2 linked regions of the Solanum lycopersicum genome follow. The protein of the gene in region 1 interacts with the protein of each later gene in a biochemical or structural test. Links are inferred from orthologs where the notes say so. Each region holds a gene or a part of one and is shown on either strand. Other genes may lie near its edges.

Region 1 (17,092 bases):
TAGCCCACGAAAATTGGTAACATGAGGGGTATACCTGCTTTTGTGCTCGTTTGACATTTAAAATGGGTTTTTTTGGCCGTCAGAGCCAATTTGCTCCACTAGAAAACGTCTTAACGGACTTTCAGGGAAAATTTAAGCAAAAAAGACGTCGAAATTCTGGATCATAAAAAATTCATAGACTATAGTACACGAAAATTGGAAAAATAGGAGGTTTACCTTCTCCAAGACTCGTTTGACCTTCAAAATGGGTTATTTGGACCGTCAAGGCCAACTAGCTCCATAGCTAACGTCTTAACAGACATCCACAAAAAATAAGGGTAACAAAGACATCAAAATTGTGGATCACCAAAAAATACCATGAACTATATAGCACATGAAAATCTACAGAATGGGGGATTTACCAGCTCTAGGCTTGTTAGACCATAAAAATGGGTCGTTTTGGCCATTGTGGTCAAGTGACTCCATAGCTAACGTCTTAAAGGACGTTTAAAAAATCTTTTGACAAAAAGACGCCAGAATTCTGGATCACCAAAAAAGATTGTGGACTATAACACATGAAAATCTGCAAAATGAGGGGTTTACATGCTCTGGGGCTCGTTTGACCTTTAAAATTGGTCGTTTTGACCGTTAGGGCCAACTATCTCCCTAGATAACGTCTTAGCGGACGTCCACAAATAAGACATCAAATTTCTGAATCACCGAAAATCCATGGACTGCTTCGGGGCTCGTTTGACCTTTAAAATGGATCATTTTGACCGTTAGGGCTAATGGATCCATATGTAACATCTTAACAAATGACCACAAAAAATTTGGGCAAAAAAGACATCGAAATTATATATCATCAAAAATACATGGACTAGCACATGAATATCGACCAAATGGATAGTTTACCTGCTCCGAGACTCGTTTGACTTTCAAAATGGGTACTTTTGACTGTTAGGGCCAACTAGCTCCATAGATAACGTCTTAACGGACGTCTTAAAGACGTTGAAATTCTGGATTACCAAAAAAATTGTGGGCAATAACATACAAAAATTGACGAAACAAGAGATTTTATCTTCTCCAGGACCCGTTTGACCTTCAAAATAGCCCGTTTTGGCCTTCATGACCAACTGCTCCATAGATAACGTCTTAATGGACATCCACAAAAAAGTTTGGCAAAAAAGACGTCGAAGTTCTTGATCACCAAAAATCCTTAGACTATAGTACACGAAAAATCGGTAAAATGGGGTTTACCTGCATCGAAGCTTGTTTGACCTTGAAAATAAGTTGTTTTGTCCATGAAGGCTAACATGATCCATAGTTAACATATTAATGGACGTCCACGAAAAAATTTGACAAAAAAGACTTCGAAATTCTGGATCACCAAAAATCGATGGACTATAGCACACAAAAATGGAAAAATCGGTGGTTTACCTGCTCTGAGCTCGTTTGACCTTTAAAATAATTTGTTTTGACTGTTAAGACAAACTTGTACCATAACTAACGTGCTAACAAATGTCTACAATAAATTTGGGCAAAAGAGACGTCGAAATTCTAGGTCACCAAAAAGGAATGTGGATTATAGCACACAAAAATCGGTAAAATGATCGGTTACCTGCTCTGGGGCTCGTTTGACCTTCAAAATGAGTCATTTTGGATGTCAAGGCCAACTGGATCCATAGATAACATCTTAACAGACGTCCATGAATTATTTGGGCAAAAACTACGACCGAATTCTGAATCACCCAAAATCCATTGACAATAGTACACGAAAATTGGCAAAATGAGATTTACTTGCTTCAGGGCTCGTTTGACCTTAAAAATTAGTTGTTTGACCATCAGGGCCAACGTACTCCATATCTAACGTTTAACGAACTTCCACGAAAAACTAGGGCAAAAAAGACGTTAGAGTTCTGGATTACCAAAAATTCATAGACTATAGCATACAAAAATTGGCAAAACGGGGATTTACATGCTCCGTGACTTATTTGACCTTCAAAATGGGTTGTTATGACCGTCAGGTCCAATTGGCTCAATAGCTATCGTCTTAAAGGACCTCCACAAAAAAATTAGCTAACAAAGACATCAAAATTCTGGATCACCAAAAAAGATCGTGGACTATAGCACTAAAAAATCGGCAAAATAAGGGATTTACCAGCTCTGAGGCTCGTTTGATCATCAAAATGGATCGTTTTGGCCGTCAGACCAACTCGTTCCATATATGACGTCTTAACGGACGTCCAAAAAAAGTTTGGGCAAAAAAGACATCGCAATTCTGGATCACCGAAAAATCCATGGACTATAGTACACAAAAATCGACAAAATAAAGTTTACTTTGAAAATGAGTTGTTTTGATTGTCAGGGTCAATTGGCTCTATAATGATGTATTAACGTATGTCCTAAAAAAAATTAGACAAAAAAGACGTTGGAATTTCGGATTAAAAATCGATAAAATTAGGGGTTTACCTACTCCGCGGCTCGTTTGACCTTCAAAATGGATCGGTTTGGCCGTGTTGGCCAATTGGCTCCATATCTAACGTCTTAAAGGACTTCCACAAAAAATTTGAGGATAAAAATCATTGGAACTCTAGATCACCAAAAAAGATCGTGAACTATAGCACACAAAAATCGACAAAACAGGGGGATTTATATGCTCTGGGGCTCGTTTCACCTTCAAAATGGATTGTATTAGTCGTAAAGGCCAACTAGCTCCATAGGTAACATCTTAATAGACGTCTATGAAAACTTTTGACAAAAAAAGATGTTAGAATTCTGGATTATTAAATATCTATGGACTATAGTACACATAAATCAACAAAATGGGGCTTACCTAATTCGGGGCTCGTAAATTGGTCATTTTGGTCGTCAGGGCAATCTGATTCCGTAGCTAACGTCTTAACGGACGTCCACTAAAAATTTTGGCAAAAAAGATGTCGGAATTTTGAATCACCAAAAACTCATTGACTATAACACACAAAAATCAGCAAAAATGAGGGTTTCCCTGCCCGGGGCTCGTTGGACCTTGAAAATGAAGCGTTTTGGTTGTCTGGTCCAACTGGGTCCATAACTAAGGTATCAACGGACTTCCGTGAAAAATTTCAAAAAAAATATCGTCGGAACTTTTTATCACCAAAAAAGATGGTGAACTATAAGACATAAAAATCGGCAAAATCGGAGGTTTACCTGCTCTGGAGCTCGTTTGACCTTGAAAATGGGTCATTTTTGCCGTCAGGGTCAACTGAATCCATAGCTAAGGTCTGAAAAATTTCAGCAAAAATGACATTGGAATCGGATCACCATAAATTCATGGACTATATCACACGAAAATCGATAAAATTGGGGATTTACCTACTCCGGAGCCCGATTAAACTTAAAAATGGGTCATTTTGGTCGTCTGGGCCAATTGGATCCATAACTAAGGTCTTATCAGACGTCCATGAATATTTTTGGCAAATATGATATCGGAATTTTGAATCACTAAAAATTCTTGCACAATAGCACATAAAAATCAGGAAAATGGGGGATTAACCTTCTCCGGGACTTGTTTGACCTTGAAAATTGATCATTTTGACCGTCTTGGACAACTCGATCCGTAGCTAAGGTATTAACGGACGTCCATGAAGAATTTTGAAAGAAAAAAAAACAATATGTAGGTTTAGAACTGTGGGACTTTGCTCTTTAATTAACCTTTAGTTAATTAAGTTTAAAATTAAAAGATATTATAATAGGCATTCTATCAAAAAATACACTAAAACCTACGCAAGCACTCGTATTAAATGTTTAAGATCAAACAATATGGCAATAAGGTTTTACATTCTTGACTTCTTGGTGAAGAATTGAAGTGCTTCTTTGCAAACACGTTTGCAATAAAGAAATATTCTACTAATAGTATACTTTGAGGTGATAATTTATTTTTTTTTTTAAAAATGAAAACTAACTGTACCGATACCAAAGAGAAACCGATATTATTGGGATGGTTTTGAAAAGTCTAGTTTTGGTTATACATTATATAATATCCGAAAAATTGGTTACAACTGATCGAACCGTCTCATTTACAACCCTACTTGTATTGCTTTTGAGCCCATGATTTATCACTTAAGATATGTAGTGAACAAAAGATTAACAACATGCAGTTACACACACTATACCTAACACAACGAACGTCTTCGGAGCACATCAAATTGATAAGTGATTCACTTCATTCCCAGAAATCTGGTTCAGCGAGTCCTTGTCCTAAGCAGAACAGCATTTGACATGCCTTCCTTCGGTTTCCAAATGACGTCGTCAATTTTCGTGCAGAAGGTTTTGTAGAACTGCAAATGCACATAACGTCATTTTCGTGCAGAAGCTAAATATAAGTATGTAATGCAAGCTATAGTGAAAAAAAAAAAATCAGTCAAAGTTGAGTGTAGAAGCAACCTTGTGATATTCAAGAGTGTCCCCAGCAGCCTTTCTAACATCAACCATAAAAAGGGAAGGGGCTACTTGGAAAACCTTCACAAATTATAGAAAGAGTGGTCAAATGAAAATAAGAAACACCGATCTTAAGATGAATCGGTTTATTAAGTTTAAAGTTACCTCCAGCACAACAGCAAATTGACCAGCCCTATTTGCCGTTACCCCCTCAATTCTTGTCTGCAATGAGAAGAGTGGTTCAATAAATCAATTCCCACTCAATAACGAGAAACTTACCCAGGGTATTCTCGTTTAAGAACACGATAGAATTACCATTAGTTTGTATCCAGTGACAAAAAGGAGTGGTACTCCTCGCTCTGTGTTATAAAATTATAGATCTGCCCCTAGTTCCAAGATGTTTGCATCTTAAGCAACAGATAAATTTACAACCATCATTCATTCAGTGTTAAGCAAAATGCGACTAAAGCTTATGTGGCACAGTTACGATTTTGCTCCTTATAAAGAGCAGGAAAAATTGAAGGGGTGAATTCCTCCTGTATATTCCATTTTCTTTGATGTTGAAAGGAAATTGCTGTTTAATAGATTGTGGGAAAAGGGTAAAAAAAAATGCTGAAAATTACAGTTGATCCAATGGGAAACTGATTATTTAGTTACAACAATGCTTCATTCTGATTGAATTCAAATTTGAATAAAAGAGAATCATTTGTCCCTGAATATGGAGAGTTAGAAATATACCTTGTAATCGCGTGTGTGGACCTTAAGACCCAACGACTCTGCAGCTGCTTCAATAGTTTCAATGACGACTTTAGCAGGTTGGCGGGAAATAAATCGAGTTTGACGCTTGACATAATCCTGTAAGAATGAGAGAGGAAATTACTCTTTGTTATAAGAAGGAAGTTGTCAAAACCTTAATAGCAAAGAGACAACCTACTACACATGTCAGCATTTTTAAATTTGTAGAAACATAAATAACTCAATCATTAAAAATATAAGCTATTCAGATCATATCTGACACTTTTTTTTTTAAACGAAAAAATAATCGCGACGTATTTGATCTAAAATTAGATTTAGAAAAGTTGATATTATGTAGCATTGGCTCTGAGCCACTTGACTACAAGGAAAAAGGAGAAAAAAAAGAGGCCAAAAATAGTGAGAGATAAATTAACGTGCTTCTATATAAGAGCATGCTAACTAAAAATTCAAGGAAGAATCAATTTACATATCCCATCAGATTCTCTTCCTTATCCAAGAAACGAAAAGCTTACAAGAAGAAGCGGGAGAAAGAGATAAAACAGATGACGTTGTGATGAATTAAAATCTGGAAACGTCGGGTATGGTTTATTTTTTGGTCCATGAACTAAATTAATCATTGTACCTGACGTCTGTCAAACAAAGCGGATAGATTTAATCCCTGAGATAGTGTTATCATCTCAAATGCATTCATTACCAAGGGACCACTCTCACTATCTTCTGATTTTTCACTGACAAATGCATCCTGCACATAAAAATAGAACATATCAAACCTATAATGGGTGAGAACATCGAAGTATCAGGCCAATCACTTCAGTTAATCTAAATCCAGAGTACAATTTATCTTAAACTTGATCACTTCCTCACACAGACATACTAGTTAGCATACTAGAAGACGAATGTGAAAAGATTCAACCTCAATGTCGTCGAACACAGCATGGATATCATCAAGATTCACTACTTCATCTGCTTTAGCTTTAACAGCTCTGTAGTTTTTCCGGAACCAAGGGTCTCGTTTTATTCCATCAATCTTGATCCTCTGCATGTACATGGTTCTGAGTAAATCACTATGAAAACACTAAAAGGACTTTTGTACATGTTATGCTGAAGTTTCACAAATTAACCAAGAAAGAGGGAATGAGAAAAGGAACACTTATACTGAACAAAAGCAAAGAATGAGCAGAAGGCATGCTTAAGGCATTTCTCACATTTAAAATGACCTCAAAAAGGATTTCTATAACCAATCCGGGAAATTTGGAAGGAATTTAATCCATGTTACGGGGCTTCTCATATTTCATCATGAGGGATTTGTTTTTCCAGTACAACTTTAATGTTATAAGCTTATAGTAGATTGAATAATTAAGTGACAAATAGGCAATCGGACACCATAGTTTTCAGGGTTGAAAATATAGTGCACTTACAGTTTGAGGATTTGGATCAATGATTTTTTGAATCAACGATGTTGCACCAGGAGAAAACCAAAATGGACAGGAAAATTCAGCAGCCTTGATCTGTGTCAATATTAAAAGCAATAAGAAATTTGTGCAGAACAAACCATAACATTTAACATATAGTAAGCCACACATAGAGCAAACAATAACTTTAACATATAGCAAGCCGTGTACAAGTAATGTCAAGTTCTTTTAAAGCCCCAATTAATCTAATAAAAAACAAACAAAAAACAAATAATGGTAATAATAAAAAACACAAGGAGGAAACTCATGCAGATGAAGATGAAATTAAAAATACGGAACAATATTTTTTATGAGAGCAGTGTGGTCGATGCCAAGTGAAAGAGAGCTTATCCTTCACACAAAGGTCAGAGAGCTGAATAAATATATCAATCAACTCATTACACCTCAATCCTAATCAGAAATGAATAATATACATATGAGAAAAGAACAAATATTGTCCCTCATATGACCTATGATCCTTAGCATTTGTCACTATATAAGAAGAAAAAGAGAATCATTTGACAGAATTATCTATGCTTCCATTTAACACATTACAAATGCATGATGACTGCATCTAACCTTTGTATACAAGGTAGGAAGGTCTGTCTCATCAAATGGAAGATATCCTGCCATCAGAACATAAAGGATGATACCACATGACCACACATCCGCAGCAGCACCATCATAACCTCGGTTACCTAACACCTGAAGAAGTAACTAAGAGTAATAAGCCAGCTACCACAGAAAGAGTCCAAACACATTCGAATATAAGAAAACATAGTAAGCAAATTAACATATGTTCAGCAATTGACATAGTTCAGACAAATTCAACTTGATGCAAACCTCTTATATTAAACAATTCAGCACAAGGTTATGATGTTACCCAAAGAAAGGTAACTGACAGTTACTGCAATGATTTGAAGGTATATTACTACAGAGCTCATGGAAGGGAAATAAATTCTGATTCTCTCTCATTTGATGACTAATCAAAAGCCAATTGATCATGCTAGGTAAAAGGGATAGCAATGAATTAAAATGAAAGACAACCACCCCTCTGCTTCGCTTCTTTCTGATTCAAGCTCCTTGCAGATAAAACAAATACACACGGTGCTTATTATTGTGGACATCATTGAGGATGTATGAGGAATGGGAAAATAGATAAGAGGACCTAAGTTTCTAATCAATGAACCTGAAAGTCGGAGCTAGCACGGCAGAATCAAACAATACTCAGTGACATATTAATGATATAACTTAAATCTAGGCAGAACCAAACAATAAGTATAGCTGGTGCAAGTTACATATTAATGATAAGAAACTGTCATGAATAAATTCAGGCCAAACACGTGGAAATTCTTCTTAATTTTGGGTGGTGGTGAGATTCGATCTCAAGACCTCTGCTTGGCACTGATACCATGTTGAAGTGTGTGACCATCTCATCTAAAAGCTTAAGGTGTTAGAGAGAGTACATTTTTTATTACTCAATTATATTCTCAACAAAGGGTTTTGGGATAGCAAGCCAATCAAATGAAGAATGAAGGGTTGCATGTACAAAACAAGAAGAACATTCAAAATATATATGCATCATACCTCAGGTGCAACATAATTTGGAGTCCCACAAGTGGTATAGAGGAGCTCGACTCCCTGTTAGAGATTTGAGTAAATTCCCATTTAGAAGCTCTAATGAACAAGGAAAGAAACAAAAATAGATATACAATCTAATGCAACTAACATCAGATGTTGCTTACTTGTTGAGGCAATGCACTAAGCCCAAAGTCAGAAATTTTTAAGTTCCCTTGGAAATCAAGAAGCAAATTTTCAGGCTGGGGAACAAGGAGCAATAGTTAAAAGATTAAGATATATAATTTTCACAAAATATCTCTTCCAATCAGCAATTGCGAACCTTCAAATCTCTGTGGTAAACACCCTTGCTGTGACAGTGAGCAATTGCATCTATGAGTTCTTGGAAGTATCTCCTTGCTTCATCCTCAGAAAGCCTACCTAGATGAACCTATAAATTGAACGAATATAGAATTGAAGAGACAGATACATTACTAAATCTTGAAAATCAAACCTTGATAACTCATAGGGAGAAGGACAAAATAAACCATAAAGGGTTAAAGCTCCATGAGCTGAAGTAAACTAGTAAAGACGCAAGTGCCTAATTGGAAACTGGACTACTATCAATGAACCAGCTTATACCTAAGTAACCCAACAATTTATATGTTTGATGAGGATGAGATTTAGTTGATCAGAACCAGGCTGGATCATGCATTTCATACCAACTATTCAGGAATACTGAAAAAAATGTACAAAGTTCATAAGCGAAAATAATCCTTCTCGATAGAGTTCATCTCTGACAGAGAAAAACTGATTTAAAGCTAAATCGTCACTGACAAATTAAGCATTTCCGATCACTATCTTGTGCTTAAATAAGACTGGTAACACCTATCCAGAGGAACCTCTTGATCAGATGGAATTTTTGACTTACTAGAAGGTAACTCAACACACTCTTAACTGCTTTGAGAGTAAAGAAAATGATCTCCAAGCTCTCCACATAAAAAGCATGGACTGGAATTACTTTATCCAAATACAGAATGTCTTTTTCTACGGATATCTCAGCATGCCTCTATTTTTCAAATATAAAAAAGAGATATCTCGGTCATGCCTCTATTTCTCATTATACAGATTACTCCACCAGACTATTGCTTTGTGAATATTGTATAGGATGCACCAAAGATATCTGCTGCTCACTCCATTATCTACTTCCCCATCCTCCATAAGTATCTTGACCCAAACTACAGCTCATCCTAATAAATGAAGATTATCACTTCATAGAAATTCGTCATGGGCACACATCTTAGTTGCAACAATGTCTCAATCGTGCCTCTATTTTCATTTACAGATTACCTTCCTAGTCATTATCAGATGGAGAGTTATCCATCATCACATACAAGGAACAAGAAGTCTGCAAGAGTTATTGATTAAAGAAGGAAAAATCTTATTGAAAATTCTAAGGAATCTTACAATTTTATCAAAAAGCTCTCCTCCAGTGACAAACTCCTGAACGATATATATTTTTGTCTGGCTAGCTAAAACCTACAAGGGAACACAAAATCAATAAACATCAGCAACAGCAAGTAGCAACGATAATAGAACAACCAAACTCACAGTAGTATTTGTAATATAATACTTTTTATTCTTTTTTTCTTTTTACCTCATGAAGTCGAACTATGCAAGGATGTCTGACAATCTTCATTATAGATATCTCTCTTTTGATCTGGAAACCATCTCAAAGAACAGCACATTGATCAGCCAAAATGCCAGACATGGATAACAAGGACGGTAGAATAATCACACACAGACCCCAGAATGTGCTCTATTAACACAGAAATCTATTTCAAATGCAAACAGATAATAAAAATTCAATATGATCAAATCTTAATTCTTTTACACAGCTAAACTATTGCCAACCATCAGTTAAGAGGCTTAAAAATCCATCAACCAACTAAAATTTGACTATAATTACTCAATAATGGAGAACATGCTGATGTTCACTAATAGAATTCAGCTCAGATACCAGGCACATTCACATAGTTCAATTTTGATAACAGAGTTCATTGCTACGGCGTTCAATGTGAGCTTAATAGTCCACCACTGAAGCTGTCATGGTTACCCTTGATTCACATCAGATCAGAAAAGCCTACTGAAGTTCGACAGAAAAGATTTCAGACCTAAGTTCAATAATAATCACTTCACAGATTAGAATAACTTTTCTAATTATCAAGCTCCAACCTTTGAATATGGGATATGTGAACACCACTGTTATCAAAATAAAATAACAAAAATGCAGGACATGTAAAGCATATACTCGAGTGTTTGAAGGGAAGTATATCTTAATACCTGTTCAACCATTCTATGCTTAAGAATGGTACTTTTGGCCAAGACTTTAATGGCAACATTCTCTCCAGTCTCGGTGTTTCGTGCAAACTTAACCTTGGCAAATGTCCCTTCACCAATAGTTCTGCCAACTTCATACTTCCCAAGCTTTCTCTTCACTTTCTTCATCACTGAACACTCATTTCCCACAGATCACCAAAAGCAAAGCAACCTTCAACTATAGCTCATCAAAAACCTGTCAATTGAATCACAATAAAACTAATCAGTAATCTAGATCAACTCAAGCTGATCATGTATTACATGTGAAAATGCACACATATAATAAATACTTTCTCCGTTTCAATTCGCTTGCCTTACTTTTTTAATCCATTTAAAAAAGAATGCCTCTTTCCTTTTTTTAAAAAAAAAATTATTTCTGTTAAAGTAAAAATCAGACAAATAAATTGAAACCGGGATATGCAATTTTCACAGGTATAAAAACTTATCGCATATACATACTCATATGATTGAAGAAACTTAATACATAGACCTAGAACAGAAAATATTTACCATTACAACTCGAAATGCAATTTTCAATTGTGTATATATCCAAATTCAGAAATTAAAACGGAAAATTACATTAACTAGAAAAAGCATAAAAGCTGATTTCCGCAAAGTTTCCATCTTCGACCTAAATTTAACGCGATTGACGAGAGAAAAACAAAATTATGAAATTGAATTCAAGTAAATAATAAATTTCAGTATAAGAAAGAAAAATGGCGAGTTGCTGGCGGAATCGTTACCGGAAATGGAGAAATTCCGGTGGAGAAGTCGCCGGGAAATTGAGCAACGGAGAAATCTGATCGATTTGGAGCTGAGGTAAAATATTGGAGAAGTTTTGAACTGTGGCGAATAAAGAAGCATTGGTTAATTTTAACCGCTAAAAATCAATTTATCAGATTTTTTTTTAATCAGACCAAAATTTTATTTAGAATTTTGAGTTGCGTATCTATCGGTTCGATCCAATTTTAAAATTTATCGATTTATATAACCTTTAAGATACTAACTTATCAGTTGTTGGTCGTTATCGATTAAGTTATTGATTTAACAGTTAATATTTGACACCGAAAAAATTATTTAATATTACTTAGAAAAAAGGTGACAAACTAAATGAACCATGCACATTAGTTGATAGATTGCATATTGCTCAAAAGCAAACACTATAACAGGATAACTGAGAGTTTGAGATAGCCAAAAATAAAAATACGAAATTAAACTCTAACTTAGACTTTATATGTCAAATGATATAAATATAATTATTTAGCTTACTATTGAGTTATTGGTTAACTCATTAAGAAAAAATCTCAAACGGTTAAAAAAAATGATGACCGATGTAAGAAAAAACCATTACTAAATTCGTTAAACCAATAACCTATTAGGCTATTATCGATAAACCAATGATCGATTCAAACTTATCTATTTCAATTTAATTATGAACAACATTAATCAACATCCCATCACGAACTTACCAATTTCAATTTAATTATGAACAACATTAATCAACATCCCATCACGAACTTACCAATTTCAATTTAATTATGAACAACATTAATCAACATCCCATCACACCGACAATCAAAACAATTTTAGAGATTTTTCAATAAAACATTTTCTTTAATGTTATGTATCCACATTGACAATGACCAAATTTGAATTTGTATGTTGCACGATTTATTTATGAGGACAATACTCTGAATAAGACTTTTTTAATTTTAAAGAGTTCAAACAAAAATTTTAATTAAACATGAAGAGATTACGAATCATCTCACCATAATTAACAATCAAAATAGTTTATTAGTATTTTGAATCAAATTGTATTACATTATTTCATCGACCAAACAACCCCTATTGTCTATTCAAGTAAGGCTACAATTAGATGCATGAAAAAAAATGCATCCAATAATGGAGGACATGTAATATAGAACAAGTCAAATCTTACAATAAAATCACATGTAAATTGTTATATATATTGATCGAAAACAAATTCAACTAAAATAACAATCTTGGACTAATCTTACTTTAAATAAATATTTTCCTTGTGGACCTTTCTAGATAAATTGATCCGCTTTTATATTAAAATAATAATTTATAAATTTTGAGTTTTAGTTCTAAGTATGAAATTATTTTATTAGAAAGTATTTGATTACTAATATTATAAAGACTCAATACGTATATCAAACATAAAAAATAAATTTTAAAAAACTGAATTTTCATCTAATCTAGCAAAAAATGATGAAATACGAAATATATCGTATTCCTTCACTTTTGAGAGTAGGTTAGATGACCATCCCGCTTCATCTGATATCAAAATTATTGTAAAAGATGCTTAAAAATCGCTACGACTAGACAAAAAGTAAATCAAAAAAGATTGCAAAAACTATATAGAATAATACATTATGCTAATCAACTATCTTGGCAAATCTTACCAAATTACAACTTTGTTAATTGATATTTGACTTATTAGCCAATTATATTATTTTTTGTGGGCCTAAATGTGGCTAACATCCAAATTTAACGTAGCTTTAACAAATATAAGTATATAACACTTAACAGATAAGGAAAATAAAGTGTTAACAATTTTTTTTTTTTTTTGATTAATTTGTGGTGTGTGATGAATTCAATATTTTAAATGTGAGCTCTCATTTTCAGGTTGAAATATTTAATTACAAAAAATAATAGTCATACCGAAAAGGAAAGGGACTAGGGACAATAATATTTTTGGTCCCACAAAAAGTTAATAAATTTTAAATTTTGATTTTTGCTATATATGTTTTTATATAAAGAGATTAAATATATATATTTTAATTAATTAAAAATAAATATATTTAATCGTATATTAATCAAAATAATAATTTATCGATAATTGCTTTGATTAAAAGTGATATTATCCCAAAAGTCAAACCACTAACCCTTTCAAATGATTAAGTATCAATTTAATTTAATCGATGAATTTAGTTCGATATTAAATTTATAATATATAAATTTTTAATATTCTAAAGTCGTTTTTGAAATGGTAAAAATAGAGAGATAGAGTGCTATTCCATGGTGGTCTATGCAATTTTAATTTTTACCAGATAATATTCATATGTGTTATAGCGTAATGATATTCATTAACATACACATAATATATATAATATATGCTTGGACATAACATAAAAGTTCCTTTTTATACTATATATAGGTTTAACTTTGTACAAAAAAGAAGAAAACAACTTTTGCAATCAAATATCTATCCAATAAACTAATTAAAGTAAAGTACTCATGAATAGTAAATGAAAAAAAGAACACAAACATACCACAAAAAGTTAGAAAGTGTTGTTTCTAATTATTTATTATTATTATATACAACATATATAGTACAAGTTGTTTTGCTTAGAGTGGAAATAATTTTAAAATTCATAGGTCTATTTCCTATTGTTTTTAATAATTGTTAGAAATATGGTACACCATGGTGATGATAAGTAATTATCTTTTGACATAAATGGAAAAATACATTTGTTCCACAAATAAATCAAGTGTATCGAAACTTCTAAAGGGATTTTAATATTTTCGATCACTCTAATTATTATTTTAAGATTTTATTTTTCGTCGATGCTTAATCTATCTCGCTACTCTAGGTCCATTTTTTGAGAGTGTACGTATATCACGCACCATCAATTATTCAATCAGATAGTACATACATCAGACATTATCATATAATCAATTAAGTATGTTTTAATATATAAATAGTGATAATTCAAATAGATAAAGAGAATAACCGATAGTTAGACTATTTTATCTAATACCTTAGACTTAATAAACAAAGAATAAGAAAGCAATCTAAATATCTAGAAAGTTTTTTCTCTCATTAATTATTAACTAGAGAAAGATAAAATAAATTGAGGTAGACAATAAAGGAACTTCAAATAATTAATTTCCAAATTATATTACACAATTTTTAAGTACTACTAATAAATAGAACAAATAAAATCACACTTTGTCTTAAATAATTCAACATACAACATGTAGAGAATTAATACTCTTAGAAGGTGAAGGTCTTTATTTTTGGCAATGCAGCTCTATGCATTATAAGCTTTTCTTTGTTCTGCACATAATTGGAATGAAGAACAAATTAGACACAAATTAAAATTACTACAAGTTAATAAAAGGAAATATAAATTGAGGATATTGTTATCTGCTTTAATTTACGTATCTTTTTTTAAAAGGGAATGTCCGGTGACTACTAAACATTCCACGTTCATGCAGGATTTGGAGAAGTCAATACTAATTCCACGGCTCAATATTTAGTAAATTTGAAGGATTTTCCGATACATTATATACATTTTTAGCTTATAAGCAAAAATTCGACTAGTATTTCCCTTACACTTTTGGAAGTTTTTCTTCCTTAATTACATTTATACTAGAATTGTTTTTTTTCTCTTCATATTATTGTAATATTGTGTCATTTTTTTGACAATAAAACAGAAATTTAAAAATCTATCGTCTCAGTTTATGTGATATGATCTGATCGAAGAATATAATATTTATATAGTATAATTTTAGGAATATTATTACCTCACTAGCACCAAGTTTAGCTTGATTGTCAGTCTCTAACATGAGGCCAAACTGAATGTGAGGGAAGTGTGCCCACTAATTAAACCAAACAAAGCTAATAAATCAGTAATTACTAACCATAAAAAATTCAGCAAAAATAATAATTATAAATTAAGAGAGAAACTAAAATATTTCCTTTTAAATTCATTTTTAAAAAAAAGGAATAACAATTTTCTAACTTGAAAATAATTTAATAATTTCTAATTATCTGTCCATCAAGACATCATCAGAAATATATTTTGACAATCAAATCAATTCTCAACCGATATTATACGTATGAAATTCAAGTTCTTTTTGTAATGAATGAAAAGTTTTTTATAAGGAAAAGAGTCTGATATACCCTTAAACTTTGTCATTTAGAGCTGATATACCCTTTGTTATGAAAGTGACTCATATATATCCCTATTTATAAATAATTAACTCACATATACCCTTTTCCTCTAACGGAAATAAAAAAAGAATAATTTTAATCTAATTTTTTATTATTTTTTTCTAAAAAATATAATCTCATATGAGTAAATTTAATCTCCGACAAACATATTTTTTTTGATTTTTTTTTATTTCAATGACTAATGTAGAATTATTATTTTGATAATCAAATTTATTTATGTTTCACTAATATTCTTGTAAAACTTATTGTAGATGACCAAATTTTTTTCTTCGAATACAAAATCAAATTACAATATAGACAAGAAAAATAGTTTAAATTTTTTTTCTTTAAACTAAGGAATGAAAGAAAAATAAATAAAATAAGAATAAGAAACTCAAATAATTATAATAAAAGAAATCAAAAAATAATTTATGTATGAAAAAAATTAAAATATACCTTAAACTTTGATAGAAGAATCATATATATCCATAAATAACTTTTTTTTAAAAATAAAAGTAAAAAATATAAATTTAAAACTAATTTTTTAACTTCCGTTAAATGAAGGATATGCTATAAGCTTATTAACGGCAGAGGTATATGTGAGTCATTTATATAACAATAAAGACATATATGAGCTACTTTCATAACGAGAAATATATCAGGTTCAAATAACAAGATTGGTGATATATCACTTTTTCCTTTTTTATAATAACCACACGTACCAATGTCATGAGATATTTAAAATCATAAGTGTTATCACAACAAATAATTAACATATATATATATATATACATATATATATATTATTATTATTATTATTTTATTTTTCTTTTAACTTTTTGTCTATTAAAACTTACATTTTTAGCAGCAGTACTAAATGCTTCCCTATGAGTGATATCTGGATTATTAGCCTTGATCCTTTGAATCTCCTCTCTGCATAAATTATTTTAATATATAGTTGTTAATAAAATTCAATAAATATCTAATAATTATATAATTAGCGGATAGACTATAAATGTTGCTCAAATTTTCTAAAAAAATAGAAATAATATCATATTACACTCGTGTTAAATTCTTTAAAATAAATTATTTTTTTGAAGGAATATCAATATACACCTATCGATATATTTTTTAAAAATTCGATCATCATAGAGATAGAGTTGTCTTACTTTATAAACTGATTATAAGCAGAAGGTCCTCGTTGCCTCTTTTCCGGAGCTGAAAAAAAAACTCTTAAAAAATTAATTAAATTTAATTGAGTTCAAGTTCGATACATTGATACGATAAACATATACATAATATACAATTTGATGATATTTTTAGAGTTTGTCATATATACATCAAAACATGATTACTTTCTTTTTTATACATTATTAAGTTAGCAACAAAACCTACTATGTTACTCGATTGGACTCTTCAAGAATATTGTTGAATTAGGGTCAGATTCTTCAAAAATACATTATTTTTGAATGAATTAACAATGACATTTCTAAAGAGTCTGAGCAACATAGTCCACGATCTGAAGTCTTGAAAAAGATATGTTACCCGCGAGTTGAGCTAGCTATGTTTATGCATGCGATCCAACATCCTT
Region 2 (16,362 bases), on another chromosome or scaffold:
TTGTCTTTCCTTTTGAATTTGCAATATGCATGACTTCCTGCATCTTCAATGGGGTATTACCAAATTTCGACATACGATCTTGTTGATTAATTCAAGATTTAGTCATGGATCCTGAAATTTCTTCGACATCCTGAGTTAAACCCAAAGAAAAAGATGGAAAATCATACAAAAATTGTTGATTCGACTGTATAACTCTAATGATTCTCTTAGAAGGTGTTTTTTCTTCATTTTGGATGTATAAAACAGAAAAACTGAAAAAGAACAAAAAAGTTAGCAGTAATATAAAATACAAGATAATGAAATAAGCATGAAATCGGAAAAATAATTACCTGGAAAATCTGAGAGAACAACTTGAGAGGCAAAGGTAGAAATTTTAAATTTATGGTGAAAAAAAGTTAAAAGAAAAAATCTGCAGAGTCTCACAAGTAACGTGTGAAACGGGGGTTAAAAGGGGAAAAAAGGCACGCTTAAACTGATAATACTGACAAAAAGTAAAAGGCGAATGATAAGTAAAGCAAACCATAACTATTTTAAGTAATTTCTGATATAAGTTTATTTTTCCATGTAATTTTTCCAATATTACACCATCCCCGATATCCAGAATATTCCGGGAACTAACACCTTTTGTCTATTTCTTTTTACAAAGTACTTCAAGGTTTCCTCGAAAGATGGCCTAAAGTATATACTAATATCATGTATACGAGGAATACCAAAATAGTAACTATAATTCGTAATTAGTCAAAATTATAGCTGCTAATGATATTACGCTCCAAGTTATAGTTGTTTATGGATTTTTCTCTAAAATTAACATTAAGCCCAATCTACCTCGATTTTTATCAAATCCAACCCAATTTCTTTCCAATAAAGTTATATCCCAGGCTAAATTAAGGAAAAATTATATAAATTAATACATTTTAAAAAATAATTACTGATTTAGTGATATTTTTTGTTTATTACTATTTATAGAAATGTTTTGTTAAATCTGTAATATGTATTAAAAGTGAATTATTTATGCAGTATATGTGAATTATAATTGTTTTTTGAAATATATCATGTTTGTTTGGTAAAAAATTATCACATTTTATATTATAAGTGTATTAAAATGTGTGATAAATGTATTATTCATCATTAAAATTTATATTATATGTGAATAATAAATTATTCTTTGCAATATGTATTAAACGTGTATTATAAACGAATTAAAAGTGATCAAGTGAAAAAAAATATTATTGCTATAAATGATAAATATTTTTTTATTATAGTATATTTACGTAAGTTTCCTCAAATTAATCTCCAGAGCACCAATCTGAAGGTTTTATTGAGTTATAGCCTAATTTATCTTATCCAAAATATAATATTGTTTCCTGAACTTGAACAATTCTCTCCAAGGAAGCATTCTGCATTGCAACAGAAGATGGAAAACTCATATATTGAGCATTAATCCATCCAAACACAGATCAGAAAAAACACACCCTACAATATGCAGCAAAGTATAAATCTCCTCAGTAAAAGAAAGGATAAGTACAGTATGAAGATTGGACCTTAACAGATGAACAATCTAAACAGGACATCAATCACTGAATTGGAAACTGATAACAACCAGATACACAAATTCATGGTAAAAATTTATATACACGGCAATTTCTTTTTCCCTTTTTTTTTTGGGGGTACACTGCAAATAGTAACTAGATGCTAGGTTGAGGCAGAAATACATGTGATGATTTATCAATCGATCATCTTAAATCACCATCTAAGACAATAGACTTTTGAAGATTGATTCTGAAAATGAATGAGATGCTTATAACAGGCTGACAGCTTAAGCCATTTTAGTAGAAGAAGAGCTGTTGGCTGCTGCTTTAGACTTGATGATCAACATGTTCCCTTTTGTAATGGAGGACATTTCTAGGGATGACACGAACCATTTAGCCAGATTAACAGAGTTCCCTGTCCCGATCATATTTCCTCGCTATGGCTAGTGCACAACTTGTCACAACAAATGGATTTTCTCAATGTCTTCAACCTGTGTGTGGAAGACAAAACTTGGGAATGAAGTAGTGATGTCCCTGTAAAATGAAGCACAAGAAAACATTATTTTTAGAGGTTTTTGGTTAATCAACGCAACAGTTTTCATGGAAAGTACAGTATGATGTAGAAAGAGAACATATAAAAGTTTTGTTTTCTCTGGTTTGCTACCAAAGAAGGAAGCAAAACAGCACAGTAGAAACATTTTTCTTTTGGCCTTGTGCATATAAAATGTTCTTCCAGTGAGAGAAGAGAATTTGACTGAGCAACTGAACCAACGAACAAAAGAGAGTTCATAAAGGCAACAGAACAAAGAAAAAGGATTACACATAATAAAGGATGTCCATAATATTTTGTATATTCAAAAGACATAATTGTGGAATAAGATTGTTGAATAATTTCATTCATATATTTCTATGTCATATACATGACTTTATATATACATAAGAGATTGTGGAATAGAATCACCTAAATCCCATGAAATCAGGGATTATACAGAATCATATATTTTACATTAAGAGAAAATCAGATTAATGATATCCACGATTATCCTAAGATCTTAAAGGATCATATCTTTGATGACAAGAATATCCTATATCAGCCAACACTCCCCCTCAAGTAGGTGAATGGATATCTTCCATTCCTAGCTTGCTTATTAAATCTTGAAACACATTGTTTGGTAATCCTTTTGTTAAAACATCAGCCACCTGATCTTTTGTAGATACAAATGGCGTACAAATGAGTCCACTATCTAATTTCTCCTTAATGAAATGTCTGTCTACCTCAATATGCTTAGTGCAATCATGTTGTACAAGATTATGAGCTATACTTATTGCTGATTTATTGTAACAATATAGTCTCATAGGTCCTTCCCATCTTATCTTCAAATCATCAAGGATTATCTTTAACCATAACAACTCACAAACTCCCATAGCCATAGATCGAAACTCAGATTCTGCACTTGATCTAGCTACTACATTTTGTTTTTTACTCCTCCAAGTCACTAGATTTCCTCCTAAGAAAGTGCAATATCTTGAACTTGACCTTCGATCCACTAATGAACCAGCATAGTCCGCATCTGTATAAGCCTCCAAAACCATGTCTCCTCCTCTTTTGAATAATATTCCTTTTCCTGGACTTCCTTTGAGATATTGTGGAAGCTGATTGACAGCTTGAAGATGCATTTCTCTAGGATCATGCATAAATTGGCTACAGCAAATCAAGCACATAATTTTGTTGGAAAATAAAGATTCCTTGTTTTGAGTGTGCCACTTCGATTCCCCAAAAATACTTTATTTTTCCAAGCTCTTTGATGTCAAATTCCTTGAGTAAACACTTTTTCAAATTTTGTATCTCCTCTGAATCATCGCCTGTTACTACGATGTCATCCACATAAACCAACAATATTGTCACCTTTCCTGTTTTGAGTGTCCTATGAACAAGGTGTGGTCTCCTTGACTTTGTTGATACCCTAGTTCGATCATAACCTTTGTAAATCTTCCAAAAAATGCACGAGGTGATTGTTTTAATCCATAAAGTGTCTTCTTCAGTCTGCACACCATTCCCTTCTTGCTTTCAAAACTAGGTGGCACCTCCATATAGATCTCCTCATCTAAGTCTCCATGTAAAAATGCAATTTTTACATCAAATTGTTGCCGGTTCCAATTAAAAACCGCAGCCAATGATAATAAGATTCTCACTGTATTCATTTTTGCAACCGGGGCAAAGGTCTCCAAATAATCAATTCGACAGGTCTGTGTATAACCCTTTGCTACCAAAGGTGCTTTTTATCTTTTCATGGACCCATCTGACTTATATTTCATGTAAACACCCATCTTCACCCGATCAACCTTTTTTCTTTTGGTAATTTCACAATATCCCAAGTTTTGTTTTTCTCCAACTCTTCCATTTCTACCTGTATAGCTTTCTCCCGTTTTTTATTTTCTAATGCTTCAGACAAAATTCTGGGGATAGAAATTGTGTGGAGGTTACAGAGAAAAGTTTTATGACTTGGGGATAGATTTTGCTATGTCATGAAAAGGCTCAAAGGGTGTTGTGTGCAAGATCTAATTCCTTTTCTGAGTGCAATGGAAAGGTCAAGGTCATTATGTTGGTTAAATTCTACTTCATGAACAGTTTAGTTTGCTGGTTCTGACGGTTCAGCAGGTTTAGGATGGGTATTAGAAGTAGTAACCTGAGGAGATGCTTGCAACTGACTAGTTTGATCAGTCTGTCTCTTTCTTTTGGAAAATACCTGCAATGGTAGATTATTTTCTAGAATTCCATTATCTATATTTGGATTAGGAGACTCAATGGGTTCGTTTGGATTCATAGACTCAGGTGACCGAACAAATGGTGACTCAGGCAAGAATTTGGCATGACTAGAAATAGACAACTCAAATAGTGACAAGTCTAGAGGTTCCTCTCCCTTCAATGACTCCCCCAGATTGTAAGAATGATTAAAAAAGGATTCACTCTCATCAAATATGACATCTGCTGAAACAAAGAATTTCTTAGATGACGGTTGATAACACTTGTAACCTTTTTGAGTAGGAGAACATCCTATGGAAACACACTTAAGAGCACGTGGATCTAATTTTGCCTCTATTTTGAGAATGAATATGAACATAGGCAACACTTCCGAAGATTCTAGGAACCAATTTATTGGAAATTTCCTAATTTAGAAAGAAATTCCTAAGAGTATCAATCGGACTTTGAAAGTTCAGAAATCTTGATGGCATTCTGTTTCTAAGATGTGCAGCAGTTAGGACAACTTCCCCCCAATACTGTTTTGGCACCTTTTTGTGAAACAACAATGATCTAGTAATGTCAAGTAACAGATCATTTCTTCTCTCTGCTATCCCATTTTGTTGAGGAGTATTGACACATGAAGATTCATGAATAATTACCTCTTTTTGGAAGAAAAGAGAGGTTTTAATTAAAGTAGTCCTTGGCATTATCTGATCGGAATCTTTTAATTGGCACCTCATATTGGGTTTTGATCATATTAAAAAAGGTAGGAAGAATTTGACTGAAATCAGATTTTTGCTTTAGCAAATAGATTCACGTAACTCTTGTACAATCATCAATGAATGACATAAACCATCTAGCACCAGAAATATTAGGAGTCGGAGAGGGTCACCAGTTATCATTAATAAGAGAGAATGGAGTTTGACATCTTTTGTGACTAATTGGAAAGGAACTACATTTGTGTTTTGTAATTTCACAATCATCACAAAGAAGACTCCACAATCAAATCTTTGAACAAAGATGGAAACATCCTTTTGATTACATAAAAGGAAGGGTGACCTAACCGACGATGATAAAGCCATACTTTCTCTTTATTTAACATAATAGACTCAGACAAGAATGAACTAGACAAGGAATTCTTAGATATATATTCACCATTGTGAAAATCCAAACAATAAAGACCACCTTTCTCACTAGCACGCCCAATCATCTCCTTCGTGTTCTGATCCAAAATAAGTAATATGAAGGGAAGAAAGTTACTTGACATTTGTAATCTTTGGTGAGTTTCTAGATAGAAATGAGATTTACAGATTACTTTGGATATGAAGGAAATTTTTAAGTATCAAGGATTTTCCAAGTAGTATGTCTCCTCGACCAACTACAGTGACAACTGAATCATCAGCTATAGTTATTTTTTTATAGCTAGGACAAGGGGAATATGATATGATGAGATGAGAGAGACCGGTCATGTGATAAGTTGCCCCAGAATCAACCACCCACGTTGGAGAAAGTTTGTCTGAGACATAAGTAATAAAAGAGTAAGAAATACTTGTGAAAGCCGATGAACAACTACATATTGAAGCTGAATGTTCCAAATCTCTAGTTGAAACTATAGAGTTATTCTCTACGGTTGCAAAAACATTTTCAGAGACTGGAATGTTTGCGGCAGTACCATTTTCAGACATGGTAGCAAAAATGGGTTTTTGTCTAGGTAGGATGAACAAAATTGGTCATGAATACCCTTCGGGTTGCCCAGTGGTTTGAGCTTGTGACTTCCATGTTGGAGGTCTCAAGTTTGAAACCCCTTGCCCGCGAAATCAAGGGGTTTGCCTTCTGGGTCGAGCTTGTGCACCAGGCTTGCCTAGTGCGAGTTACCTCTCCTATAAGATTTGCGAGCTATTGCATAGGAGTGGAGTTTTTACCCTGTGCGCACCCAAAGGGTAGCGACTGCGGGTTTCCCTTGTCATCAAAAAAAATTGGTCAGGAATAAGCCTAAAGCTCTGATACCATGTGGAATAAGATTGTTGAATAATTTCATACATATATTTCTATGTCATATTACATGGCTTTATATATACATAAGAGATTATGGAATAGAACCACCTAAATCCCATGAAATCAGGGATTATACAGAATCATATATATTTTACATTAAGAGAAAAATCAGAGTAATGATATCCACAATTATCCTAAGATCTTAAACGATCACATCTTTGATAGGATCATATCTTTGATGACAAGAATATCCTCTATCAGCCAACAATAATGAATAGCTACCATCCTACCACAAGCTTACTTCTTTCTTTGATTGGGGTTCAAAACACCAGATTTTGGAGGGAGAGGAGGGGTGGGGGTGGGGTTGGAGGTGGGAGGTTTAGTTTCTCTTCAGTTTTCCCTTTTCCTATTTAACAAAACAAGTGTGGGGAAAGAGAAACAGAAAACAGCAACAAGAGGAAATGAATCAGATCTAGATCTATTATCAGGTGGTTAAATCAACAATAATAAAAGCACAGTAGCCATGATGCAAAAGAACAGTTTACTTACTTCAAATAGGGCAGAGTCATGTTCTTCAGCAATGATGGGTATCTGATAGCGAACTCTTTCCAGTCCTTCTTGTCAATCTTGCCATCCCCATCAGCATCAGCATCAGCAAATGTCTATCAGAAAGACGGAGACATAAAAATTATGATAAGCAGACATGGGTTTGGAGAAAAGATTCATCTTGACAAACGCATACCTTATCAATAATTTCCTCAACTAGTTCATCAGATAGCCTCATTTCAGATTCCATCAGAATTGCAATTACCATTTGCTTAACCTAAATGAAGAAACTTTCCAATCAATTCATGGATAAATGCATCTAAAAATAAATCTGACATCAACTTTAACACAGCACACTGCAAGTAGATTACACCATAGACCTAGCTATGCACAGGGTTCTGCCAATGAACTTTCAGTTAACATAAACTTAAATGCTATCTCTGGATTTCAACCTTTATTGCATCAACATCTGCACAAATAATAATTAGCTACAATAATGGTTACATCCATATATTTACTTTCCTTTTACCATTATTGCATCAATATACTCACTTCTATAACAAATGCACTTATTTGACAATAGAAGAAAAAAAATGAGTTTGTTCTGGCTTAATAGAAGGATAACTGATCAGGTTTTGATCAGCATTGTATCATCCAGGGAACTGATCACATAAACTAGGAGTTCAGAAACTTCCAAGTTAAAAACATGCTTTCTAAGCATGTAATGCTATTAAGAACTGGTCACTGCAGCCAAAATATTGTCAATCTCAATGCTTGTGCTTTGTATATATCAGCTGTAACAACTTTTAATAAGTTAAAGTAAATTACTTGTGGGGCAATACTCTGTATGAACCTTGTGCTCACTCTTCTCCACTTCCATTACACTCAGAGTAGTATTATATTCTCCTATATAAATAATGCAGTCTAAGTTTATGATCAATCACTTCACAATACCATTCCCGTCTGACTTAACAAATCATTTTGTATCCAAAGTATTTTTTGAGACATCATCAGTGAGATCTATATTCTAGTTTCAGTTTCAGAATCAATCAACTTTCTACGTTTAACATATGTTATAGTTTATAGCCTGCAATACGTAAGCGAAATTTATTCTCCTTCGCTTCCAGTACTTCTAAATAGAACTTAAAACACTAGTGTCTGCAAACTAATAGTACATGTTATCAGCAATTGTTAGATTCGAATAGAAGGGGTAGTTATTTTAAAAGCATATGGTAATATCACATCTTTGGAGAAGAAAAGAACTTCAAAGCTGTTGACAGAAATTGTCAAACTTAATTACTCACTTCTTCTCGCTCAATGTACCCCGTTTGTCGTAAATCATACAGCCTAAAGGCAACTGCAAGAGAAAAAAAAGTGATCACAATGAATTACACACACCAGATGATTTGAATAGAACAACTATTAATTAAAAGAATGGTTTACACTCCTTACAGTCTATTTTATCATCTATTGGAGCATATGGATGGAAGATATTAAGTGCATGGATAAATTCCTCAAACTCAATAACTCCATTCTGCTTTTCATCGAAAAGGTCAAAAACCTGCAGAAAAGGAACTTGGAAAGTTCATCAACATGAAACTAAAGACAATTTCTTCATAAAGAAATTAAGGTCAGACAAGTTGATGCAAGGCAGATTTCTTTTAACTCTTTCCTCATTTTTAAGCTTTCCCTGATATATATTTCAACTATTAGAAAGCAGCTTGTCCTCAATACAGTCAAACAAGATATCACATGTAAAGAACCACAAAGCTAACAGCACAGTTGACAAATAACTATCCTACTTATATAGAATATGGAAAACTTCAGATGATTGATCCATCTGACCCACCTAAATGTGCTGATAAATGACATGGACAGCCAACTATAGTAATGTGTTATGTGACATATTCATATCGATTAAGAACCCCAAAGCTGGCAGTTCATATATAGACCGATCAGATAAACCATCTTTTTCAGTTGAAACATCAAAGTGCATTAATTAGCATGTTTAGCATATTCAAATCTAACACAAATCATATATAATATGCTAGCATTGTTCTCATGGAATGGAGATAGATATCCCAAGAGAGAACATGAGATGAACTAGCAACAGAAGTTTAAGTGCATTTACCCGGTCCAAAAAGAGATTCTCACCATGTGGAGTTTGAAATAAGGCTAGCTGAAGCTCTTCCTGGAAAAAGAAAGCAAAAGATAAATATAACATGACAATAGTTTCAAAACTCTGCACATACTTCAGTAAGAAAAAGTAAAGAGGAAGGGAAAAGACCACTCAAGGATCTTAAAACTGCAAAAAAGTGATATGCTGCATATGCAAATTTGTAAAAAATGAATAAGAACACTGTTATCATCTATCTGAAGATGAAGAAAGAACTTAAATAAGAGGAAAAGAAAGGTTCAAAAAACTAATATTCATTCTCTTTCCTTCATTTGACCAGAAATGTCTAACATAAAGGTGAAACTTCACGGAAAATGAAGATAAAAGTTGAGATAGATGTCGCTGAAAGGTTAGGACTGAAAATTGCACAAATCTCTACCTACATATTTCTCTTTGTACGAAGACTCGTCCAATTTTCAGGATAAGATATATTACGATGTCAGCAGATAGAACACACACAAATAAATAATACATATTGCAAAGAATTTATTAAGTTCAGCCACACCCAATAATTAAGCTCATAACCCAGACCTCCTCTCCAACTTAAACCTTACATCAAACTTAAAACCCGAAAGCAAGCCTTGTTGGGCGCACCTTTACTTCCAACACTCCATTCCACATATCCAACAAATGACAAGAGGGTTTCTGATGCACAATTGATTTGTGAAAAGGCTAATACATGAGACTACTTGAGGAAGCTAAGAAGCTAACACAGGAAAATCAAGAGTTTAGTGGAGACAGAAATATTAGAAGACAAAAAAAGAGATATTGTACTTCAAAAGATGCCTTACAATGACTATTACAATCGTAGATATGCTCGTATGAATGGATACAACTACTCAAAAGAACGAGTAACAAAATCTAATAGAAATCCTAACTAACTTTCCAATGAACAGTAACTCTGACCAACTTTACATTGAACAGTAATTCTAACTATAACTAACTAATAGTCTTGATCCTTGTACCAGTTTTCCTATCTCTAGCAAAACTACATGCATATTAGTAATACTGTCATCCTAGTTTCATTCCAAGAATCAAACAGATTGGTCTTTCTTTATTTTTATATAAAGTAACTTTAACAGTAAGCATCATCAACAAGAATCAAACAACATTCCGAGTAATTTTTAAAAAAATTTCATCATTTTGGAAAGGAATTTGCAATATATGTAATTTTTTTTTGTAAAATTGCTAAATATACTGAATTAGTCTAAGTGCACTAATATCCAAAAAAAAAAAAAAAAAAACTTATCACAAATTACGAATTGGAACAGACGGATAACAAAAGCAAAACCCTAAAAAAAAAAGGACAAATCACCTTATGTATCAAACCATCATCGATAATTGAACAACTCAACTTCTTAAACAACTCGTATAATGCTTCCACTTCATTCACATTAACTGCAAAAAAATCAAAATTCACCAAAAAATGATTCAACCTATACAGTTCCAAATCAGATTTTAATTTTTGAAAAAAAAAATGGAATGTTAATTACATCGAGATTCCCCGGCAAGTCGAGCAAGGTCCGTGTATTCGTAACTGAACTTTTTGTTTGGAGGGTAATGACATTCGAAGCAACCAGAAACAGCATACATACAAGCTTCAATGAGTGCAATAATGGGGAAAAATGAAGCACAAATTTTCTCTGAGATTGTCAAAGAACTCCAACTCTGAAGAATCCACAAAACAAATGAAAATTAAATAGAATTCTATGTGAAATTAAATGAATTGTTGCAATTTACCAGAGAATTTCGAGTGGAATCCATTGATTCGTATCACATTTCGTTTCACAAATTTACCAATAAAGAAGACAGAGAGGAGAGAGAATCATAATGATCAAATTGTTTTTTCTATTAAATGAAAAAAATTGAGAAGAACACTAATACTACAAATTATTGTTTCAAAAAATATTATTTTATTTTATTAGATTAATTGAATTTAATACATTTTTGATTTATTATTAATTTTTTATTAAATTTAGAGATATTTTTAATATTATTTTAATTTTAAATTAAAAGTTTTTATAAGACACTTGTTATATTATCTATAGATGAGGGCGTATTTAAATTTAATTATTTAATTAAAAGTGTGTGTTTTGATAAATATCGAAACGAGCATGTTACGCCTAATTAATATGATTAAATACTAAAATTTACTTATATGGACAGAATCTTAATATTAATATTAGAAAACATTAATTAGTCGTATAAGTATGTTTTTTAATCATATTTAAACGCACTGTTCTTTAATGTCAGTGCAAGATCAGATCCACACGACTGTGCAAGTGTTAAGGTGGTTCACGTAATAAACTTTATATTATCTTACATATTTATTTTTCTATTTAAAAAGTATGAGTCACATACTTTTACACCTTCTAATGATTGTTACGTCTCCTTATATTATATTAAGGCCAAATATATAAACAAATTCCTAAACTTGTTGGGTTTTTTCCCTTGGGTATCTTAATTAAGTCATTTTTTTCTATTGAATCATTGAACCACCCATAATTTATTCCTTTAAAACACTGTTGGTTGATTTTGATCGGCTTTTCTATTGGAAATGCCTTTAATTGTGTTCGAATTATAATAATTTTGATTGAAGGAATGAATACAAACCGTGTTAGTCTCATTTGTTTTCTAATGTGTTCAAATGACTTAAGTAAAACACAATTATTCTCGAACATTTTCACAATCAATTGGACTAATGAGTTGTGGAACAATATATGTATCCTCTAGCAATACCCCTCATAAATCTGGTTCCACATCAGACAACATTGTTTGTTTAAAGGAAACAAATTATGGGAATTCAATGATTCAATAGAAAAATGAAGTAGTTGAAGTACATGAGAGAAAAAACCCAACAAGTTTAGGAATTTGCTTATATATTTGGCCTTATATTAATGTATAATGTAATGTTAGGTTCAATTTAATGTTTATATTCATTGTTGCTTTATCATATTAAATTGTTTAAATTTATTGTTATATAATGACAAAAATAATTATTTCCTTCGTTTCAAAAAAAAATATTTCTATTTTTTTTTTAGTTTGTTTAAAAAAAATAATTAATTTTTTTTTGGCAATACTTTAATTTTAACTTTTCACGTCACATGTTTAAGACTGCAAGATTAAAAGACATTTGAGTACATTTGACATAACTCTAATTTTGAACCACAAATTAAAATTTTTTCTTTATTTTCTTTAACTCCATTCCAAATCAAACTAGACCATCATTTTTTAAAGGGCAACTTTCACATATAGCAAACAAAAAAAATCATATTTGTATAATATAGCAAACTTTGCATAATTGCGCTCCATAGCAAACATAAAAACTGTATAATTCGCAATACATATAAAAGTGTATAATTCGCTGGCCTAAATTGTATAATTCGCTGGCCTATTTCGCTGCAATTGTATAATTAGCTTTGCATACAGTTGAATCGAATTAAAATGTATGTATATTGCATAATTATAAGTGTATAGCAAGAAGATATATGTTTTTCTCGCTTTATACAAAAACAGAAACACAATATATACACTTCTGTTGTATAAAGTTAGAAAAAATTGTATTTCACTGCAATTGTATAATTCGCAATTGTATAATTCTTTGGCCTTTTTCTCTGCAATATTTGAAGTAAAATGTTTGTAAATTATATAATTAAGTGTATAACATGAAGATATACATTTTTGCATGTGTATATATAATTTTCTCTCGCTTTATACAAAACAGAAACAGAAATTATACACTTCTGTGTATAAAGCGAGAGAGACGAGAATGGGAGAGTGGCGAGCGAGACTTCTGGGAGAGAGACGCCTGGCAAATTTTTGTCAATGTTTGCTATGAAGCACAATTAAATCAAACCCTAGCTATTCAATTTAATTTAGGTTATTAGTTTGCTATTTTATACAATTTTCCCTTTTTTAAATGGGGGGAGTATCTTATGATTTTGATCCTTTTTTTTTTTATAGTAATTATGTTTATATTCTATTTTTTTAAATTTACCATTCAAATTATTGTTATATGATATTATTTAATAATGAAAAATAAATTAATTAATTTAAAAGGTTATATTTGTTAAAAAAATATAATACAATATTATATTATAAAACAATACAAAACGTGAATGTTTGCGGCAAACCCCAATTTTTTATCGTCTATTAAGGTTTCTAACAAAATAGAATAATAATAATGTATGAGTCAAAAGCTTATCATGCATGACACACGAGTTTAGACTGTTTGATAGTTAAAGGTTGTCTACTGATTTATTAAGGTTTCCACCAATTGATTGGTGTGATAATTTATTAAGGTATCATTTGATCATTTTCAGAAATATCTTTTATAAGTCAATTTTGGATGAAGTTTCAAAATGTATATGATTATAATATTTTAAAATTATATTCTATTCTTTAGAAGAAAAATGAAGTATAATTTATGGTTGTGAGTTCCAAAAACTATTAAAGATAAGAGTAACCATTTTATAAGAAATTAGACAATATATTATTCGAAAGTTTTAAGATGATATTACAATAAAAATTACTACGAAATAACTATTTTACTCACAAATAGAGCTGCATATCAATCTGTCTGATTCGATTTTGAAGTTACTTATTAGTTATTAGTTTGTAAAAATGGATGTTAAATTGTTATAGAACCTTTAAGATATTGGTTTATCCATTATCGATTTATTTGTTATTGATTTAACCGTTAAGATTCTACACAAGAAAATTATTGAAAATATCTTTAAAACAAGGTGACAAATTGAATGAACCATGTATATGAGTTAAAATATTGTAAATTAGACATATGCAAACGTTGACACATTTTAGAATAATAGAAAATCTAAAACATAAAAAATAAAAATACAAAACTAAATCTTAAATCAAAAATTTGGATTACCCGTTAAGAAGAGGTAATCCAATAGTTTATCAAATTACAATCATTACCAAAATTATTAAATCAGTTATCAATAAATTAATAAGTTCCCTTATTTGAATTAGTAATTTTAAACGATCCCTACTCACCCACCAATAAAAAAATGTACAAACGACCCTACTACAATGATTTCTTTTTAATCAAAAAATATACAAGCAACCCTACTACAATAATTTCTTTTTATTCCAATATATGTATAAGCGACCCTACTACAATGATTTCTTTTTAGGTATAAAAGAAATACAGCCACAAGAAAGAGCCATTCTTTATTATAAATAAGAATGATTTTAATGAGTAGTTGTGCAAATATATCATAATTAAACTACTGCTCCTATATCATAATTAAACTACTGCTCCCTTCAACCATTTTTTTTGGTCATATTGCGATTTTCTTTCGATTAATTTTTAAAATTAAATTAGATTATACTAATTTGATATTTGAAATAAAAAATTAAAATATTTAAAAATAATATTAAAAATATTATAAATTATAATTTTTATATAATATATCTTAAAATATTAGTCAAAATTCTTATAATTTGACTTTAAAAATAAAAATTATGATATGAACAAAAGGAGTAATAATTAGCGGAAACTTTTTCTAAAATAAAAAATTATGAGAAATTTTAATTTTAAAAGAATCCAAAAACTAGAGGTGGCCACAAAAGCAAATGCCAAATCATCAAAATTATTAATATAGTTGGAACCAACAAAGGCCGCCGCAAAACAGGTTAGATTTAATTTATTTTAAGCTTAAGTAATCTGTATTCATTTAAATTTGTTTGTAAATTTTACTTTGGACACATTATTTTAGATTATTTCTATTGAACATTTTTATTAGTAAAAAGAAATACTTATTAAACATTTTCTCATGATTAACTAAAAATAAAAATTGTGTGTTATAAGCTAGTGATGACGTGACATGTAACTAGTTAGAAAAGGACATGTGGTGTTTGGGCCCATAATAATAATAATTAAAAGGGAAAATTGTATATAATAGTAAACTAATAACTTAAAATAAATGGAGTAGCTAGAGTTTGATTTAGTTGTGTTCCATAGCAAATGTTTACAAAAAAATTGTCAGGAGTCTCTCTCTCCCAAATTATTCGCTCGCCACTCTCCTCCAATCTCTCGCTCGCTTCCTCATTTTTTATACAAACACAAGTGTATAAAAATTGTTTCTAATTGTATAAAGCAGAGAAAATTGTATAAATACATATATTTTTGTTCCCATCTCTCCCCTCTTTCAGATCTCGCTGCCACTCTCGCAAATCTCGCTCTACACCCTCGCCTTTCTCACTTATACAAACAGAAGCGAAATGTATAAATTGTGTTTTCGTTTTATAAAACATGAGAAAATTGTATATACACATGCAAGTACATATATTTTCGTCCTATACACTTATAATTATACAATAAAAATATTCTCCTGCTCAGTTTCATTTGCATTTCTCTCTTTCTCGTTTCATACAATTTTCAAATTGTATATAATTTCTCTCTTTCTCGTTTTATACCATTCAATTCAATTGTATATTCCTTGTCAAGTCTCTTTTGTCTTTCTCTCTTTCTCATTTTATACAAATTCAAATTGTATATAATCGTTCTATAACTTATAATAATATAATTCGTTTTATACACTTAGTTTTTATATAGTTCTCTATCCAAGTGTCTTTCTCTTTCTTGTTTTATACACTTCGTTTTATATAATTTGCTTCAACTGTTTATGTACAGCGAATTATGCAGTTTCTATGTTTGCTATGGAGCGTAATTTTGTAAACTTTGCTATAACATACAAATATGAATATTTTATTTGCTATACCTATCTGAAAGTTGCCTTGATTAAAATATATATTAAAAATAAAATGTTATTTTTGGCCCCAAAAAAAAATAAAAATTCTTCTGCCTTTTCTTCTTTGCCAAAATGCCCACCCCGGCTTCCATTCTACCTCATTTTGTTTGTCGCCGGAAAACACGTAGTGGCCTCCGGCTAAAATCGCATACTCCAATAAGTTCTATCCTTTATTCTAATTCAATATTATAGTTGCCATTTTTTCCAATCTCATTTTTTTTTGAATAACAATCAATATTTGTTGATTTTTTCGCTTCTTCACTGTTGTAAGTTCTTTAGAATTTGAATCTTTTAGCGGTTTCAAAGAAAATAATTTCAGATTCATATTAGTCTTGTCAAAAAAAATAAAGTTTCGCCAAATTTATTTTTAACTCAAATTTGACTTTTATTTTTTTAATTTATGTTTTTCTGCGGCCATTTCAAAGCAATTGCTGAAAAAATAATTAAAAATGAAGGTTAAAGCAAAAGAAGAATTGAAGGATTAGAGAAAGAGAGCTGCAGTGAAGAAGAAGAAGGCTTTTCCATTTTATTTTTATTATTTTATTTTAAAACTTATCAAGTATATAAGAAAAATATGATTTTTAACTGCTATATACG

The links.
Region 2: of the proteins of SOS2 (region 1) and CBL10, one has a biochemical effect on the other in vitro, tested with the Arabidopsis thaliana proteins (6 studies listed by BioGRID, with this or other methods). The link is inferred for Solanum lycopersicum from reciprocal best matches to the Arabidopsis thaliana genes SOS2 and CBL10.

What each region holds. Positions count from the first base shown.
Region 1 is NC_090811.1:3,243,917-3,261,008, forward strand, and holds SOS2 (calcineurin B-like interacting protein kinase), read right to left. Parts: upstream 11,404-17,092; 5' UTR 11,282-11,403; intron 11,210-11,281; exon of another isoform or gene 11,118-11,209; intron 10,735-11,117; 5' UTR 10,668-10,734; coding exon 10,503-10,667; intron 9,880-10,502; coding exon 9,817-9,879; intron 9,699-9,816; coding exon 9,627-9,698; intron 8,611-9,626; coding exon 8,503-8,610; intron 8,423-8,502; coding exon 8,348-8,422; intron 8,244-8,347; coding exon 8,190-8,243; intron 7,308-8,189; coding exon 7,182-7,307; intron 6,660-7,181; coding exon 6,570-6,659; intron 6,188-6,569; coding exon 6,065-6,187; intron 5,894-6,064; coding exon 5,774-5,893; intron 5,251-5,773; coding exon 5,134-5,250; intron 4,618-5,133; coding exon 4,561-4,617; intron 4,477-4,560; coding exon 4,402-4,476; intron 4,296-4,401; coding exon 4,200-4,295; 3' UTR 3,960-4,199; downstream 1-3,959. Other genes in the region: YABBY5B (axial regulator YABBY 5), read right to left, coding at 14,560-14,622, 15,093-15,167, 16,359-16,434, 16,671-16,719. UniProt on the Arabidopsis thaliana protein: Involved in the regulatory pathway for the control of intracellular Na(+) and K(+) homeostasis and salt tolerance.
Region 2 is NC_090807.1:54,641,741-54,658,102, reverse strand, and holds CBL10 (calcineurin B-like 10), read right to left. Parts: upstream 10,840-16,362; 5' UTR 10,754-10,839; coding exon 10,730-10,753; intron 10,658-10,729; coding exon 10,483-10,657; intron 10,388-10,482; coding exon 10,305-10,387; intron 9,005-10,304; coding exon 8,945-9,004; intron 8,375-8,944; coding exon 8,266-8,374; intron 8,171-8,265; coding exon 8,118-8,170; intron 7,091-8,117; coding exon 7,010-7,090; intron 6,930-7,009; coding exon 6,817-6,929; intron 2,064-6,816; coding exon 1,988-2,063; 3' UTR 1,482-1,987; downstream 1-1,481. UniProt on the Arabidopsis thaliana protein: Acts as a calcium sensor. CBL proteins interact with CIPK serine-threonine protein kinases. Binding of a CBL protein to the regulatory NAF domain of a CIPK protein lead to the activation of the kinase in a calcium-dependent manner.